Linked DNA regions of Arabidopsis thaliana. Each later gene encodes a partner of the first gene's protein in a complex. Each region holds a gene or a part of one and is shown in the gene's direction. Other genes may lie near its edges.

The links. Proteins that work in one complex are often made in the same cells at the same time.
Region 2: AT3G15970 (region 1) and AT1G75340 share a complex: the UniProt entries of both Arabidopsis thaliana proteins name them as parts of the nuclear pore complex.
Region 3: AT3G15970 (region 1) and GLE1 share a complex: the UniProt entries of both Arabidopsis thaliana proteins name them as parts of the nuclear pore complex.

Annotation. Positions count from the first base shown.
Region 1 is NC_003074.8:5,407,779-5,413,383, reverse strand, and holds AT3G15970 (NUP50 (Nucleoporin 50 kDa) protein), read left to right. Parts: upstream 1-2,230; 5' UTR 2,231-2,359; exon of another isoform or gene 2,360-2,850; intron 2,851-2,968; 5' UTR 2,969-3,004; coding exon 3,005-4,402; 3' UTR 4,403-4,592; downstream 4,593-5,605. Other genes in the region: AT3G15980 (Coatomer, beta' subunit), read left to right, coding at 158-354, 440-533, 618-724, 966-1,095, 1,190-1,369. UniProt on the Arabidopsis thaliana protein: Probably involved in nucleocytoplasmic transport via its interactions with importins and Ran, rather than by forming part of the nuclear pore complex (NPC) scaffolding.
Region 2 is NC_003070.9:28,268,470-28,273,786, reverse strand, and holds AT1G75340 (Zinc finger C-x8-C-x5-C-x3-H type family protein), read left to right. Parts: upstream 1-1,705; 5' UTR 1,706-1,913; coding exon 1,914-1,951; intron 1,952-2,061; coding exon of another isoform or gene 2,062-2,121; intron 2,122-2,312; coding exon 2,313-2,490; intron 2,491-2,650; coding exon 2,651-2,745; intron 2,746-2,849; coding exon 2,850-2,945; intron 2,946-3,035; coding exon 3,036-3,129; intron 3,130-3,240; coding exon 3,241-3,458; intron 3,459-3,553; coding exon 3,554-3,631; intron 3,632-3,731; coding exon 3,732-3,824; intron 3,825-3,930; coding exon 3,931-4,016; intron 4,017-4,096; coding exon 4,097-4,319; intron 4,320-4,443; coding exon 4,444-4,516; intron 4,517-4,598; coding exon 4,599-4,634; 3' UTR 4,635-4,817; downstream 4,818-5,317. Other genes in the region: emb2184 (Ribosomal protein L31), read right to left, coding at 1,100-1,465, 1,556-1,624; AT1G75335 (nucleolar-like protein), read right to left, coding at 4,921-5,211.
Region 3 is NC_003070.9:4,468,644-4,475,027, reverse strand, and holds GLE1 (nucleoporin GLE1-like protein), read left to right. Parts: upstream 1-1,708; 5' UTR 1,709-2,252; coding exon 2,253-2,254; intron 2,255-2,371; coding exon 2,372-2,536; intron 2,537-2,658; coding exon 2,659-2,814; intron 2,815-2,914; coding exon 2,915-3,026; intron 3,027-3,132; coding exon 3,133-3,281; intron 3,282-3,408; coding exon 3,409-3,758; intron 3,759-3,879; coding exon 3,880-3,989; intron 3,990-4,071; coding exon 4,072-4,142; intron 4,143-4,447; coding exon 4,448-4,529; intron 4,530-4,722; coding exon 4,723-4,791; intron 4,792-4,873; coding exon 4,874-4,957; intron 4,958-5,042; coding exon 5,043-5,111; intron 5,112-5,198; coding exon 5,199-5,327; intron 5,328-5,406; coding exon 5,407-5,694; 3' UTR 5,695-5,884; downstream 5,885-6,384. Other genes in the region: AT1G13130 (Cellulase (glycosyl hydrolase family 5) protein), read right to left, coding at 1-302; CYP71B7 (cytochrome P450, family 71 subfamily B, polypeptide 7), read right to left, coding at 6,171-6,384. UniProt on the Arabidopsis thaliana protein: Required for seed viability.

The DNA of each region.
Region 1 (5,605 bases):
GTCAGTTTACTACTTTACATTGTATCTATAGGAGCAAATTGGTATATTTAGATCTTACAATGCCAATGAGCTTTCTTCTAGCTTTTGCGGATTCATTGCTGATATCTACTACTTACTAAGTGATTCTCTTGCATTTGTGTGTGTTCTATCATGATAGCTGCAATTGGCCGAGGATTGCATGAAGTACGCTATGGATTTGAGTGGTTTGTTACTACTATATTCTTCTTTGGGAGATGCTGAAGGGGTGTCAAAACTTGCATGCCTTGCTAAGGAACAGGGGAAGAACAATGTTGCCTTTCTTTGCTTATTTACGCTGGGTAGATTGGAAGATTGTCTGCAGTTATTGGTGGAGAGGTATTTCATTACTGTTCACTTGGCCGTTTGGAAAAATCAAATATGTGTCTTTTGTTATCTTTATGACAAGAAATTATCTTGACAGTAACCGGATACCAGAAGCTGCTCTGATGGCACGTTCTTATCTTCCAAGCAAAGTTTCGGAGATAGTAGCTCTATGGAGGGAAGATCTCAGCAAGGTTATTTTCGCATCTTTTTTTTGTTTACTGTGTCAATGAGAAAATTCATCATGTGGCTTTAAATTGCCTTTGACTTGTCATCAGGTTAATCCAAAAGCAGCTGAATCTTTAGCTGATCCTGAAGAGTACTCAAATCTTTTTGAGGATTGGCAAGTTGCTCTTTCTGTTGAAGCGAACACTGCAGAGACAAGGTATCCGAGCACTTATTTTCTGCTATTCGCATTTTTCTTCCATGGTCGTTATGGCTTTCGAACTGTAGTTCAATAATTATATATGTACCTAGATATGATTGTACGGATGTGATGGATGCCTTAGGAAAAGAACTTCATACTTGAGCCACTCATTTTTCCCATGATTATGCATTGAGATGTTCATACTCAAGCGTGTTATTATTTAGGCCAACCCAAAAAATTGACTCTTATTTATCTACAGGGGAGTTTATACCGCTGCAGAAAATTATCCATCCCATGCCGATAAACCTTCCATTACCCTTGTGGAAGCCTTTAGAAACCTGCAAGTTGAAGCAGAGGAATCACTTGAAAATGGAAACATCGATCACGAGGTAACTTCTTTTGGAAGTGATTCGTTTGCTAAGAAGCAAAGAGCTTTATTTTCCACAGGAGTAGTTACTGAATTGTTTTTTGAACTTTGTGCAGGTAGCAGAAGAAAACGGTCATGTAGAGAATGAAGGAGATGAAGAGGAACAACAGGAAGAAGAAGTGAATGAAGAAGAGGGAGTTGTGGATGCAGACTCTACGGACGGTGCTGTACTTGTTAATGGAAGTGAGGGTGAGGAAGAGTGGGGTACGAATAACAAAGGAAACCCATCAGCCTAATAAGCAAGTCAGTCCAGGATCAATGTTGAATAGTCGAAATTTTGTCTCTGGTGATTAAATTGAAACCTCTCCCCCAAAAAAGAAAAACATTTTGCCGCTTCTAACATTTCTATATGATTATATGTCTCATTACCCTTAGTAACACAATCTTTGAGTTGGCATAAATATGGGTTTAGTTATACGAGTTAACTTTATTATAATCTCTGCATCAATGTGGCTAATACTTGGAGACTTGTCTCTCAAAACCCCTCCATCTTTGCCAAAAGTGAACTTATCGTTTTTGTTTTGTTTTGCAGTGCTTACGCCACATCCCTAGCTAGATCCAGTAGCCGGCACCGATACTCCAAGGTAAAGATCTATCATCCTTATTCATGAGTTCAAACCTCTATGAAACTGGACCATGAATTAACTTCAATCATATATTTTTGGATCCATTTTGTAGCAGGAATCGATTCTTGGTGGATGGAGAGTATAAAGACGAAGATGGGATTGGTGGATTAAGGAATTTGGTGTTGTGGTTTTTTCAACTAATGATTGTGGTTTTCATCTGAAAGAGTATATTATAACACAGTAGAGAGTTATACAAATTTTCTGCTTTAGATTTCAGCTCAAAATTACAAATTTCTGGTGCATATATAATTCTTTGGAAGCCTTTATCACTTTAATTTCCACTCTTTTTGAATAACTTAGTTAAGGATTGTCCTATAAAGTTATAACATTAGCTATACAAATCTGCAAGAAGTATTTTACAACAAATGAGCTACGACAATACAACATGTTATATACAAAACGTAAACATCTTATTACATGCGATGACTATCAGCAACAATATCGATTTGGATATAAATATAACAAATAATACAAAAATATAAACTCGATTTATTACCATTTTTCCAATGTGCTGACAAGATTCGTTTTCTCTTTTATCACTCCCCTCGGCGATCTCTCTTCTTGCTCCGGCAGGGTTTTTCTGCTGCTCCTTGCTTGTCCGTAAGTTCTCCGAATCTTCATTTTCTCGCTGGTCTCGTTGGCCGAATCTGGATTTTTCTAATTCCCTTTTCTTCTATATACTCATCTCACTGCTCGCTGCTCTGGTTCTTAGGGTTTTGTCATAGTTCTGTTGTTGGATTTTTTTTCTACGGCTCCTTTTGAACCTCCTTGCTAGATTATCCTTGTGTGCGTTTCTGGAATTAGCTGTTTCTTCAGATTCCTGTTTTGTGTTTGCTGAATTAGTTTGGGGTTTTTGATTTCAAATTTCTTCTGTACTATCATATGATTTGCGATCGCGTGGTGAATTGTTAACATGTGCTCATATATACGCTCTTGTTGCCTCTAGATTTTTGTCTCGTGTTCATTATCAATTTCAATTGCAGTAGCATGTTAACTTAGGTTTCCTTGATTTAAAGAATCACACATTGTCTATGGTTGGTAACTTATGTGCGTACAAATTGGGCGTCCTATTCCTGTTTGGATGGTTACAGGTTAGAACTATGCTTTCAACATATAAGCTCGGGACTTCCTTATCCGCGAGATTGATTCTGGTTATTTGGTTGTTAACACAATCTTGATGTATCTTTTTTTTGTTGCATGGTGTTGTAGGGACTCTAGCTTGCCTGTAACTGTTAAGAGATTACAATGGGGGACTCCGATAATGCTATACCATTTTCCAGAAAGAGAACTGCTCTGAAAGAGCTGTCTCGTGACAATCCTGGTCTTGATGATGATGATGAAGACACTTCTGCACTCGAGAGTGGTACCTTCAACACTGCTAGTAAGGAGGTGTTGGCAAGCAGAAGAATTATCAGAGTTAGGCGCACAGATCGATCTGCTACTGCACCACCAGCTTCTAATCCATTTACTGGAATTCGTTTGGTTCCTTTTACTGCTCCTGCTCCTTCTACTGCTGCTGCAGAAACGACTAAACCTCTGTCTGCGGGAAAACAAGAGACACTGGCTGATGGAAGGTCTGATGCTACCAAGGAAACTGATGGTGACAGTAAAGAAAAGAGTGACGCAATTGATGCTGTAGGAAAACAAGAGACACAGGGTGATGAAATATCTGCTAAGACCAAGGATATTATTGATGGTGGAGAGAAAGAGATGAGTGAGGCAGTTAATTCCGTAGAGGGTGGTGGAGCTGTAAACAAGAATGAAGACGAGATTAAGACAACGATGGTTACTGAAGTTGCTGCTGGGGAAGAGACTGTAAAAGATGACAACAACAATAGCAACACTGTTGAGGGAAGTGACTGTGTTGTCAAGGATACAGGTGGTAATCAGACTGAGAAAGAAGGAAAAGAGGGCGATGGAAATGAAGACACAGAGAAAAATGGAGATAGTGGAGCCTTGAGCTCCTTCCACCAGCACTCAAGTAGCAAAAACGCATTCACAGGACTTGCTAGCACAGGGTTCTCTGCTTCTTCGTTCTCGTTCGGTTTGGTTCCACAAGAAGGTTCGACTGGGTCTGGTTCTGAACAGTCATCCTTCAGTTTTGGCCAAGCAAACAATGGAAACTCTTCCCTGTTTGGTGCATCCGTTGCTACTTCCATTACCACGAAGAGCACGGAAACTACTACTGCCTTCCCATCAAAGCAAGATGTTTCAGTGGAAACAGGAGAAGAGAACGAAAAAGCAGCCTTCACAGCTGACTCAGTAATGTTCGAATATCTTGAGGGAGGATGGAAAGAGCGTGGGAAAGGAGAACTCAAGGTGAATATATCAACGACTGAAAACAGAAAAGCCAGGTTAGTAATGAGATCAAAAGGAAACTACAGGTTGACCTTAAACGCAAGTCTTTACCCGGAAATGAAACTGGCTAAAATGGACAAGAAAGGAATCACATTTGCTTGTGTGAATAGTGTAAGTGACGCCAAGGATGGTCTCTCTACATTGGCACTGAAGTTCAAGGACCCAACAGTGGTGGAAGAGTTCCGAGCAGTTATCGAAGAACATAAAGACAGTAAACCTTCCGTTGCAGAAGCAGCAGCTCCTTTGAAGACACCTGAGAACTCACCGAGTGCTGAAGATGCTTGAAGGTTAAAAACTTTGAAACAACTCGTCGTCTAGTATCCTTGTGTTCTATTTGTCTATGTTGTTTGAAGTTCAAATTTGGCAGAGAGAATAGAGAGACTATATAGATCACTTGAACTCCTTATGGGTCTCTTATGAATGAATATTCGAAGTTACTGTTTTTAACATAATCTATCATATAACTCAGCATCAATTACATTCATAGTCATACATATCCGGCATAATCAGTAGCCAATCCAGTATAAAAAAAAAAACTCATTCAAGGCCAGACAATCTTGTCGCAAACGGAACATATGTTAGAATCCGGTTTCCATATAAACAATTGACAAGTATTTTGAGTGAAAACCATTTCTCTTAAGGTTGGTTTGGGGTGGGTTCTTGAATAATGGCTACATTACCTCTTTCCCACTATTGATCAGGATTTTGTACAGTAGTGGTTCGTATTAGTGTTTGCCGCCATGTTATGAACAATGTTCATGAAGTTCACCACAAGTGATGTGCTTCATCGTACAGTTGATTTGCAATGTTGCAAATAATATTTAAGATGGAATGGTGATCACAAATTGTCCTACGATTTTGAGATAGTTGTCGTTACAATATTGTTGGAACTGCAACTTGGCTCATGAGGCTTGATATGAATTTGCTAACGAAGATAAAGTTTCATGGGAATTTTGATCTCTTTGCTGTGAAATTACATGAGAATTGAAATTTTGATCATTGCATTTGCTTCCATGAAGAAAACCGGTACAACGGAATGTTCTTAGTCTAAAAATCAGAAATTGTGGTGGAGCCATACATTAGGATTCGACAAACACTGATAGTTTCAGGTCCTATTTAAGTTTTTTTAGTTCCTTTTTGTTTTGTTGATGGTTAATTTAAGTTCTGAAAATGATAACACTACATAGGAATATCAAGACACAAGGGATTAAAATTAGATTACAGGAATAAACATATGGAAGAGTATACAATTAGATTTGGAAGACTTGGCCCATGAGACTTTATATGTTTCTTGCCACGACTCACGAGATATAGCTTCGTGAGAAGATTGATCTCCTTATGGTGAAATGAAATTACATGTGAACTGAGACATTATGTTTCTATCATTGCTTCCATGAAATTGCGTTTCTTCTTCCTTGTTGTTTTTTTTTGTGAAGAAGAAACGCAATTTCTTCTTCCTTGAAATTACATGTCAATATATAGATCCAA
Region 2 (5,317 bases), on another chromosome or scaffold:
TTAAAACACCTTCTTTTTGTGTGTCTAAAGTCTTTAAGATAATATTTTAAGACTCAATTTTAGTCAAGATCGCAAATCATTGATAAGAAAGGATCTAAGACTTCAACCAACGAATGAATTTAGTTTAACTCAATTATTCAGATTCAACTGCATCGATCAGCATATGAAGTATGTAGAGATGTCAAAACCCAATTTACTAACGGATTAAAAAGCCCACAGGTTTTCCTTTTGAACTTCAGTGAAAACTTTGGTAGCTTAGTTAAGAAGCAGAAGACTCCAGCTGAGAGGAAATGGGCCTAAAATAGCCCACACATTCGACTGTCTTCAAATGGGCTTGAGACGGCCTGATATTGGTTTGGCTTGATATTGGTAAAACCTCTGATTGAGCTGGAGTATTCTGTTTCTGTTCAATATTGGTCACACAAATTCAGTAGTAGTATACAATTGGGCATGATCACAGAATCTTCAACTTCAAGTGCCAAAAATTTTCTTTTATGTTCTCAAGCAAAACATACTCCTACGCCATGGCCACAGTTCAAGAATCTGCTCACTATTAGTACGCCACTTCGTCGTCAGAAGACAAATGTTTTGCCTGATAACTTCAGCAGACACTTACATAGACCATGATCATCATGTTCAACATCTTATAAATCTATGTAAAAATGATCTCAATCAACTAATCAACACACCACTTACACATCAACAACAACTACCTACACTAGTCATTAATCTCATGCCATAACTTTCCAAGATTATCACAAAATGTGGCAAAAGCCACAACCTTTCTTTCATTTGCAATTACCATTTCATAGGCATTGTTGCTATGTTTCTCTCACCAGTGTATATCTATCTATTATCCATCACAAATTCATGCCAAACTCACAAGCTAAAGATTTGTCCTTGAGATTCGCTACTACTTGTATCATTGCTCTGAGATCCTAGTCTCACTCTCAATGAAACCAAATAGATCTTAAAGAAAGCATAACCAATAGCATTCAGAAGAAAATTCACATACAATTTTTAACAGCCTAAGCAGTATCTCGACTTCAATTGAAAAGACAACAAATTCAAAGACATAAGCTTTACCAGAAAAGACTCATCATTTCTTCTTCCCTTTGGGACCTTTACTTTTCTTAGTAGGCATAATGATTTCTCCTTTAAGCACAGGAATCTCCATAATCTCAGAAAGCCCAGCGAACCTCTTACGAAACTTCTCAACTTGATCAGCATCAACCATCAAAGCCGAACGATTCCCGAGGTAAAACGGATGGTTACCTGACCATACATCAACCACATACTCTTTCTTTGTTCCTCCTGTAGTCATCACCAGCTCTCCATTGCAGTAAACCTTTGCGTCTTCGTGGAATTCAGGATGCAATTCCTTCTTACGACACGTTATCTGAACCACCGTATTGCTGCTTCTTCTCACCGATTGTTTTCCTCCTTTCACTGCCGCCATCACCGGCTAATTTTGAAAAAAAAACACAAACAAATTTAGTGATTTTGGGGAAGGAGGAGAAATAGACGAAGAATGAGAAATCGATTTCGAGCTTACCTTTCTTAATTGCAGAGAAGGAACACATGGGCTAATCTGAAGAAACGAGTTCGGGAGAGAAACCGCCATTTTTGTCTTCAGGAGCTATCTTCTTCTTTTTTCCTGGTGATAGAGAAGAAACGAAGTAACGATTGATGGATAAGAGAATGAGGATGATGAAGTGTATTGGAGTTACGTTTATAACCCTAAATACTTTGAAGATATGTAAGGGTAATATGGTAATTTACATAGAGACTTCCTTTTGTTCTGTTGATACACTCTTCGTCAATCTAACGCTTCTTCATTTTTCTCGAGAGAAGCAAAACTACATATATATATACGCACATACGTACACAGTTCGAAGGTTTTAGCTGCGAGTATGAGGAAGGAACTGTGTAGAAACTTTCAGCGTGGCAGGTAAATACTCTTTTCATCATCATCATCTTCTTCTTCATCTGTTCTAGTTTTTGTTTTGATTCAATTTGTTGTTTTATAAGAGTTTTTGAAGTTTGTTTCGATTGCTGAAGTTTAGGTTTCGTGTTCTATATTCTGGGGTTTAATTTGAAATCAATCGATGTGCGAAGGTGGTAATGTGTTAGAAAACGATGTCTATTGAGCTGAAATCTAAATGAATCATACAGTTTATTGACTTTGATAGATTCTAATCTTCGTTTCCGCCATTAATGAGGGTTGATTTGCTTCGGAAGTTATGATTAGTGATAGTAGAAGCTTAGAGACGTAATTATTGGACTCATCGTCCTTTGTGCTGTTTTTGCAGTTGTAGGTATGGGGAAAACTGTAGATTTCTTCATCCACAACAAGCTAAGCCAAATAATCCCTTTGGCTTTGGTACACAAAACCAACAACAACAACAGCAGCAGCAGCAACAAAATAGTTCGAACCCTTTTGGATTTGGTGTACAAAGTGGTGGTTCCAGCAGACCGAATCAGTTCCAGGTCAATTTGTTTTTTTCCTCTTTTAAGATGCAAGTATTGCTTTGATAGAATGCAAGTTATCGTTCGGCTTTGGATGAGAAAAATGGTGCATCTTCTTTAAGAAACGAAAGCATTTTGCCTGTTGAATGAATGGTGACATGATGATGCTTTTGCAAATCAGAATACTTGGTCACGAACGGCTTCTACACCTACTGGTGGTGGTGCTGCTGCTTCTACACAGCAGACTGGTAAACAGACGCAGCCGGCAGATCATAAGTGAGTGTATATATGTTTACATATGCTTGTTCTATCAATTATCATCCTTTTAGCCGTTTGTTTCTTTGGAAATTTACTGTTTCTCTCTTGGTTACTATACAAAGATGCACAGATCCTGCTGCGTGTAAGCGGGTAATGCAAGACGATTTTAAGAATGAGAGACCCATGTGGAAGCTCACATGCTACGGCCACTGGAAATAGTATGTATTACTTCATTTGGTTTAGCATCCTTGATCTTTATCCATTCTTTATAAACGTGTCTGATTTTTTCTATCTTTTTTTTCTTCTAGTTTTCCATGTGATGTTACCGGTGATATCAGCTATGAAGAACTACGTGCAGTGGCATATGAAGAAGCTAAACGAGGAATACCTCTACAGTCGATTGTGAGATTAACCTTTCTTGTGTTTGTTATACTTTACACTGGTTTTCATTTCATACTGATAAGACATAAGTTGATTTCCTCTTTTCCTGGCTTATTATGGTGCATTATATAGGTTGAAAGGGAGAGGAATCTGCAAAATTCCAAAATAGCCGAGTTTGAAAACTTTCTACGGAATCCATACAAAGGCTCTGTTACCGCCAATCAAAGCCCGTTTGCTGCAACCACTCCTAGTATCTTCCCTCAGTCCAGTCAGATCAATTCCCCTTCTCCAGCATTCTCTGGCTTTAATCAACAAACTGCATTCTCCAATACCAATGCGGGTGGACTCAGGTATCAACTTTTGTGGGATTTCTCCAATTTTCATATCCCAAAAAGTTTGTGTTGCCTTCAAACTAACTCTCGGTTTCCATTTTTCCTCGACATAGTTCATCTGGACCTCCGAATGCCTTTGCAAGCTTCAATCAACAAACTACATTCCCCAATACCAATGCTGGTGGAGTCAGGTACTAACTTTCTCCATATTCCATATTCAAACAAGTTTGTGTTACCTTTATAACCTCTTGGTTCCCATATTTCTCTTTGGCCAACTATTCCTCTGCATAGTTCATCTGGACCTCCGAACCCCTTTGCAAGCTTTACTCAACAATCAAATAATCAACAAACTGCATTCTCCAATACCAACGCTGGTGGTCTCAGGTATCAACTTTTGTGGGCTTTCTCCATTTTCCAAATTCCGTAAAGGGGTGCCTTCATGAAAACTCTGTTTCCATATTTCTCTCTGGCCAATGATTCCTCTACATAGTTCATCTGGACCTCCGAATGCCTTTGCAAGCTTTAATAAACAACCAAATGCTTTCAGCGTCAACACTCCTCAACCTGTTCCTTCAGGTACTACTTCTAATGTTAAACTTTGCTTAAAGGCCAAGAGACTCGCCATCATCTGAAACCTCTTTTGCAAATGATCACAGGTCCCTCTGGTTTCCAAACCAATCCATCAACAACATTCAAACCAGCATCATTTGGACCTGGACCCGGATTTGCCACAACTCCACAAAACAATAACATCTTTGGTCAATCAACTCCAACACCGGCTACAAACACTTCCCAGAACAATCAGACCGCATTCAACTTCAATGTCCCTGTTGCATCTTTTACTGCTCCTGCTATAAACACGACAAATACATCTTCCGGGTAAGTCCTCAATCTGTTTCCAGGTTTTTTCTATAGTTAAAAACCGTTGTTGAACATGTTGACAGAGTTAATCAAAACATACTATGATGTTTCATACGTTTCTAACTTGAATCATTTGCGGCAGAACCGAGCTGCAAATAGGTGGTGATCCTGTTGATAGTAGTATCTGGCTAAAGGAGAAATGGAATCCAGGGGAGGTAAATTGCTCAAAACTAATCATTTAAGTTGTTTCCAAAAAATTTATTGCTCTTAGATTAATTTGTTGCTTTTGTTGTGCAGATTCCGGAACAAGCGCCGCCTGATGCCTTTGTTTAACAATATGAAGAATGTCATTGAAACAATTACGTATAGGCCAGAGTCGCAAATTGGCGCAGAAGAGTTGTTTTTTCTTGGTCATCTCAGATTTGTGACCAATGTAGTTTCTCCACAAAATCCAAAGTTTTGAACCTTAACAATAATTTCAATGCAGATAACAGAAACTATAAACAAGAGAATTCTAAAAATCAAATCTTTCTCACCAAGTGAACATCTTTCAACTACAACAACATTCCCACAAAATTTGAAAGCTTTTCTTAATTCCACTACAATTTTTTGATCAACTTCAAACAACGATCTCGCTGGATTTTCTCTTTTTCTTACTCTTCTTCCTCTCTTCCGAACCCATCTCTCGATGACTCTTCCTCTTCTTCTTAGAGCTTAGCTTCGTCTCCTTTGATTTAATCTCCCTATGGATGCTCTTCAATTCAATAAAGGCACCGGAAGCTCGTCGAAGGTACGCGCTAACATCTTGAGAGGCTCCATTCTCAGAAGAAACGAATCCGGAGAGAAGAGTAGCCGCCTTTGATAGAGAGATTGGCTTTGCACTGTTAACTCTTCCGGTGACCGTCTTCATCGGAACAACAAGCTCAAGGAAGATGGTCACAAATTAGGGCAAGTTGAAAAATAAATAAACCTTTTTATACATAGAATTGAAAATGGGCCTAGTGGAAAAAGCCCAA
Region 3 (6,384 bases), on another chromosome or scaffold:
TCATTAGTCATCAAATCCAACGGCCAAGTTAACCTAACACAATTGAAACCCATTTCCACTATCTTCTTGGCCACTGCGTCCACTGGTTGTTTGCTCAGCCCTTCCGCTACAACGGGCTGGAGGTGTGATGGCCAGTTCGCACACACGAGCTTTACCCGTAGACCGTTCTCGTCGACGATCCAACGGGAGCTTGTGGAGAGAGGATAAGACATGTTTGGGACGGTGTTTTGTGCAATGAAGGAGAAGAAGAAACAGAAGAATGGGAAAATGAAAAACATGTGTTTTGGCTCTTTTGATGTCATTTCTTGTATGAAGTTTGTTCTTTTGTGTGTTGGAGAATCGATTTGACAACAGTCTTATTTATAGAGAGAGGGTTGAGGAGTAAATGTCTCTGTCGTAAAATTGTTCTTCCTTTACTATTCATACATATATCGTAAATTATTAGGTATGCTTTTAACATTTACTTTGATATTAGTTAGCCTCTTGTCCGTGTTAATCAACGAATGATAACAAAAGCCTTTAATTTTTACCCTTGCATCAACTTGAGCAGTATTTTCACCACCACATATTTTTGTCAACTGATCAGTACTTGTTGCTTATATGAAGTTCTTAATTAATTAAGACATACTAAATATTTTTGATAATCAACAAATTTTCTGAAAAAAAATAATCACTTTTTTTGGTATTGAGTGGTATTATTTTGATTTGATTCAAGAAGACTATTTAATTAAGATCTAGAATGCTTAAGTCACATAATTTTACTTTTCAACAGTATGTGTTATTTTGTCAACCATGTAGTTGATATATGCGTTTAATGTGTGTACGTACCCAAAACCAAATGCGTTACCAACTATCTGAATCTATTTACTTATTTAACCTATTTATATAAATGATTTCAATGCCATTTATTCATCTCAGCTGTATGTAATACAGCTATTTTAGCATTGTACTTCACTAGCTACTTTGTAAAAAACCCTTCCCCACTAATTGGCTTTCAACAAAATTAATGATGAATTAACAATTAAGAAATCTGATATTGGTAATTAATTCCCTGAATGTAATTTTATTTGCAAGATACAATTACTGTCTCGTAATTATAAATTTCACTACACTTTTTCACAAATCACAAGTTAAGGGAGACTTAAAAGCGTTGGACTCCACGACCGTTGAAGTTTAACCTACGTCCAAGTAAATACTCCTTTTGTGTTTGTTCTAAACACAAGATTTTGTTGCTTCGTAAATAAGAGAGAGATTTTTGCTTACCTTCAAGAAAGAAAGAAAAAATCTCATTTTTAAATATCACAAATATACGTAGACTTCTTAAAGCTAGTTATTATACTAGAAGTCTAGAAGTATAACATTTAACAAACATAACTTGACTGAATATATATCTAAGTTTTTTTTTTTGGTACGTTTCATTATATATGGATTAGGTTTTGTCATCACAAAACTCTACTTCATGAAAAAGCTATTTTCGTAAACCATGCTACTATATTTTAGTTTCTTTTACCGACAATTTTTTTTTTTTTTTACAGTATTTTGTTTTTTAAACTTTGTTCTGGAAAAAAAAACGATTTTCATAAGAAAGAAAATGTTACAAGGCCTTTTTAGGCCCAATCTTGTGGACTCTGTGAAACGGTCTAGGTCTAAGCATATTTTCCACACATATATAATTTGGAGAATCTAATCGACGATCGATCTGATTTTAAACCGACTGGACTGGTTCTCTATAACCGTTTGTAACTTAATTCTAAACGACATCGTTTTCGAGCATAGGGCTCTTTTGAACTTTTAGAAAACGAAGCCGATCTCTTGTCTGGTTTGGTTCGTGATTTCCGATTCTCCGATCCTAAAGTTTCCATTTTTTTGGGGGTTAAGTGAAATCGGCTCCTATAGCGTTGATATTACGCTTCTTCGTCCCGTTGGGGATATTAAAGCTTGTATTCTAGTTGAGTTAGAGAATCATCGAGATTTGTGCAGCACAAGAATCTTCGATTCAGAGAGTACGATTAAATTTAAAGGTAAGGGGCTTTATGGGAATTTGTAAAACAAGGCATGAGTTCGTCTTTATTGCTCAGAAGAAGCCAGAGACTATCTCTTGTGGAGCAAAGAATATGATTCAAGGATCCTATGAGTGAACCAAATTGTTTTGTGTCTTGAAGCTTCAAGGGGGTTTATAGGGTTTATCAAGGATTCACTAATTGTGTTATTGCTTCTTCTGTTTTGTTATCAGGGAATCACCCAATTGTGTAATGTAAGTTCTCTTCTTTTACGGGTTCCTTCAATTTCTCATCTTTGGAAACAAAGTTTGTTCTTTTTGGGATTTTACTGAGATTTTCTGTTTCAATTCTGTTTTAATTTTCTTTTGCAGGGGGATTGTTTTGGAACCTCCTTGTCCTAAAAGTGTTGATGGGATTAGCATTGATCCTGAGCCTAATTGGAATTTCGAGAGTTTGGTCGCTGAGATTGCTTCTGTTGAAAAGAAGCTCAATGGCTTCTCAATGTATCCTCAGCCAATTACTAACACAACCTTACGGTATATATATATCTATGTTTACTTCATTCTGGAGTTCTGTATTGAATTAGGACCAATAACAATGGCCTCAGAAATATTTGTGTTAATTTGTTTGGTATTGGTGTTCATTGGTATGTTAAAAGGATGGGAAGGAGAGGTGGAGGATTTGTAATGCATGTCTCAGAAGATGAGATGGAGAGTGACGAAGGTGAAGAGAGTGATGATGAGGAAGAAGAAGAAGATCATAGTCAAATCTGTACAGCGGGAAAACGTTTTGCCTGTGATGAGCTTTACTTGAGGTGATCATCACCAACTCTTCCTTGCTAGTTTGTTTCAAAATTAAGAAAGGCGTATTGAGGGTTGTTTGATGTTTTTATTGGTTATTTTTTGTTCATACAGTGATGAATCTGATGAAGAGTTTGATCATGAACCTGAGTATATGATGAATAAGTTGGGTCTGGCTGAGAGTGCCCTATATGAGGTTATCAACGACCACCAAACCGAAATCAAGGTGGGCAGATTTGTTTTGTTTTGTTAATAAAGAGGTACATATTGTGGAATGTTTTATTTCGCTTGGTGTACTTGATTAATTGAGCATTTGGTTCTCTTAATTACAGGACGACATTAGGAATCAAGTATCAGTTGTTGAAACAGAAATAATGAATGAGATTGAAACGTCTCTCTCTGCCATAGCCCGGGTTGAAAAGTACAGTGAGACTCGGAAAGAAGTTGAACGGAAACTTGATCTTCAATATCAGCGAAAAGTGTAAGCTATTCTTCCTAGCATTCTAGTTTCAGGAATACATTTTCTTACCAGTTCAGTTCATTTACTGTGATTTTTCTTCTTCCATTGTCTCCAAATTCTTAATGAGTTTTTCTTTTGCTGTTTTCAGTGCTGAAGCACTTGATACCCATCTGACTGCAGTCCAACGCGAACATAAAATTAAATCGCAAATAGAAGAAAGAAAGATAAGGAGCGAGGAAGCTCAGGAGGAGGCCAGGAGGAAGGAAAGGGCTCATCAAGAAGAGAAAATACGTCAAGAAAAAGCTCGCGCAGAGGCTCAAATGCTAGCAAAAATCAGAGCTGAAGAAGAAAAGAAAGAAGTTGAGAGAAAGGCAGCCAGAGAAGTAGCTGAAAAAGAAGTAGCAGATCGCAAAGCTGCCGAACAAAAACTTGCGGAACAGAAGGCTGTGATAGAGAGTGTTACGGGGAGTTCAGCTACATCAAATGCTCAAGCTGGGGGTGAGCTATCTTTTATTTAGTATCTATTTTCATCTATGTTGCTGTGATTGTTCTTTCTTTGTCATATTGAAGATTGTGATCTCATTTCTTACTGTGTTTATTTTTTTATTAATTGTGCAAGGTAATTCAATCCGAGCTGCAGAAAGTGCTTTGATATTGGAGAACCACAGATTGAAAAAGCTCGAAGAACTAGAAACAACGAACCAATCGCTTAAGTCACGTTCAAATGAAGTATCTACATCTTTTTACCGTTTTATCTGTCTGTCTAATCAACATTTGCTCACAAGTCATGTTGCTTATTTACTACTTGTAGAACTTTAGCAGTTTTGAGAAGCATATTGGAAGAGTGATAAGGCAAATAAGTGGGACAAAGGATAGTGTAAGGTATGGTTCATGGTTTCTGCCTTTAATTTATCAGTTTTTCCCCAGACAGGGTTTTAAGATTATTTGTTACATTTCATTGCAGCTTTGCCTTTCCTGTCCTCTAGTGGTATATGCCTAGCTTCTTTTAGCATTTTATTCCGATAGCCTTGATCTTGTTTAACTTGTGGAAATGTCAGTCTTAAGCCTTTGGTTAGAAAGATTTAGATACATTTAAGATGGTTTTGGTGTAACCTTACTTAAGCGTTCTTCATGGACTTTGGTTAATTTTCTTTATTCTTAACTACGTTTACTTTGGGCCTTTGCAGTGGGAAAATCAATGATATTGTGAAAATATTTAAAGACCCTCGTTGTCCGGTATCCATAAGTATTGCAGCTTTTGCAAAGAAGGTAACTTTTATATCTGGTCTGTTTAAGATTTACTTGTTCATCTATTGTTGAATGTTGAAAATGACTCAAACTGTTGTGCTCGGATCTAATTGGTGAAGAACTCTTTGATACGTTCATTTATTGGATTATCTTCTGGACTCTATGATTAGGAAACTGTGAACCGATGACATTAACGTTTTGCTGATTCTTTCAGATGGTCACCACTAAGGAAAAACCAAACCCTTTTGCATGCAGCTATGTCATTGTTTACATCAACTCACAGGTACAAAATTACTTTTGATTTGTACAGTGCATTTTTGTTCTTGTTACTGTTATTGAATATAATCTACCATTTATGCCTACAGTTTCCCCAAGTTATGGATATTCTTCTCGCGGAATTCCACAAAGCTTGCATTTACACTGTCCCAAAGCATATTGTAAACTCACAGGTAAATAAACTTCTTAAGAAATCTATTTTGACAGAATTGTGAAAAAATAGTGTCTTTCTTATTAATTATCTCCTAATGAATTCAGTCAGCTTGGGATTCAGACGCATATGAACGCCTAGATTCTATAATGAGGCTCTACGGTGCACTTGTTCAGGTTTTTGCCTCTTTTATGCAACTATCTCTTATGCATTGTTATTTCCATAATCCGCTAATGCGAGTCTTTTTCTAATGGTAATTACAGACCGATATCCGCGTTGGCAATGCTACTAACGTTCATGGGATAGAACATGGATGGGCTTGGTTAGCCCGGTTCCTTAACAAAATCCCAGCCAACAGAGCCACTGCGACAGCCTTGAACTCCTTTCTCCAGGTTTGCATTGATTGTGGTTACCGATTCTAAATATAAAATCGTCTTTAAAACCATAACGGTGGTATATGTTTATGTGTAGACGGCTGGGTTTGGTCTTCATCAGAGGTACAAATCTCAGTTTCTGAAGGTTGTGAATGTTGTGAGAGAGCATTTCTTGCAGAAATTGCGGGCGAAGAAGGACACGTCGGATCTACTTGTGATCATAGCCGAAATCACAGCGTACTTAGATGACCGGATGTATCTCAAGGAACCTGAAGGAAGAGCTATGAAGACGACTAGTACCTTGTCCTCTGAACTTACTGCTGAATTAAATCAGCCGAACTACAATCAGAATTACCAGAGGAATGATTACAGAAACTACTATTGATTTGATGTTGTAACATTTCGTCGGATAGAAAAACCCATCTCAATTTTCATCAATGTTGTAACACTATAGTTGTCTCACAAGAAGCATTCTTTTGCTTTTATTTCAATTCTTGTTTCATTTTTAACCATTTCTTTGTTTGATAATGTTAACTAATCCTACCTGTTATTTAATTTAAGCATATGATAATTGGTCTCTGTTAAATACCTTTTCTATTCACGGTAACGTGGGCGGCCAACCCAAATATAGTAATGCGTTTTGCGGATCTAATTAATTAATTTGTCTTTTATCCTAACTAGTTCTAATTAAATAATTTAATTCTCATAATTTAATTGTTTAAAAACACTTGTGTTTAGTTGTTTAAAAAACAAAAACTTGTGTTGATATCACTATTCAGATTATGATTACAACCATATCAAGATAAAGAAGCTGGATACAAATACATAATCTTATGGACTAATTGTTTCATGATCGTCATTTCAATGATGAACAAGTGGAACAAGCTCAAGGGTTGTCTTCTTGCTAATAATGATTGATCCTGTTTCTTCCAAGTTGATGTCCTTCACATTCTTCCCTACAGGCACTACCCAATCGAAGAAGTAAAGCAAATTCAACAGTCCCAATTCCACGGTGGTGATTCCCAGCGTCATCCCGGGACAGATTCTCCGGCCAGAACCAAATGGTAACAGCTCA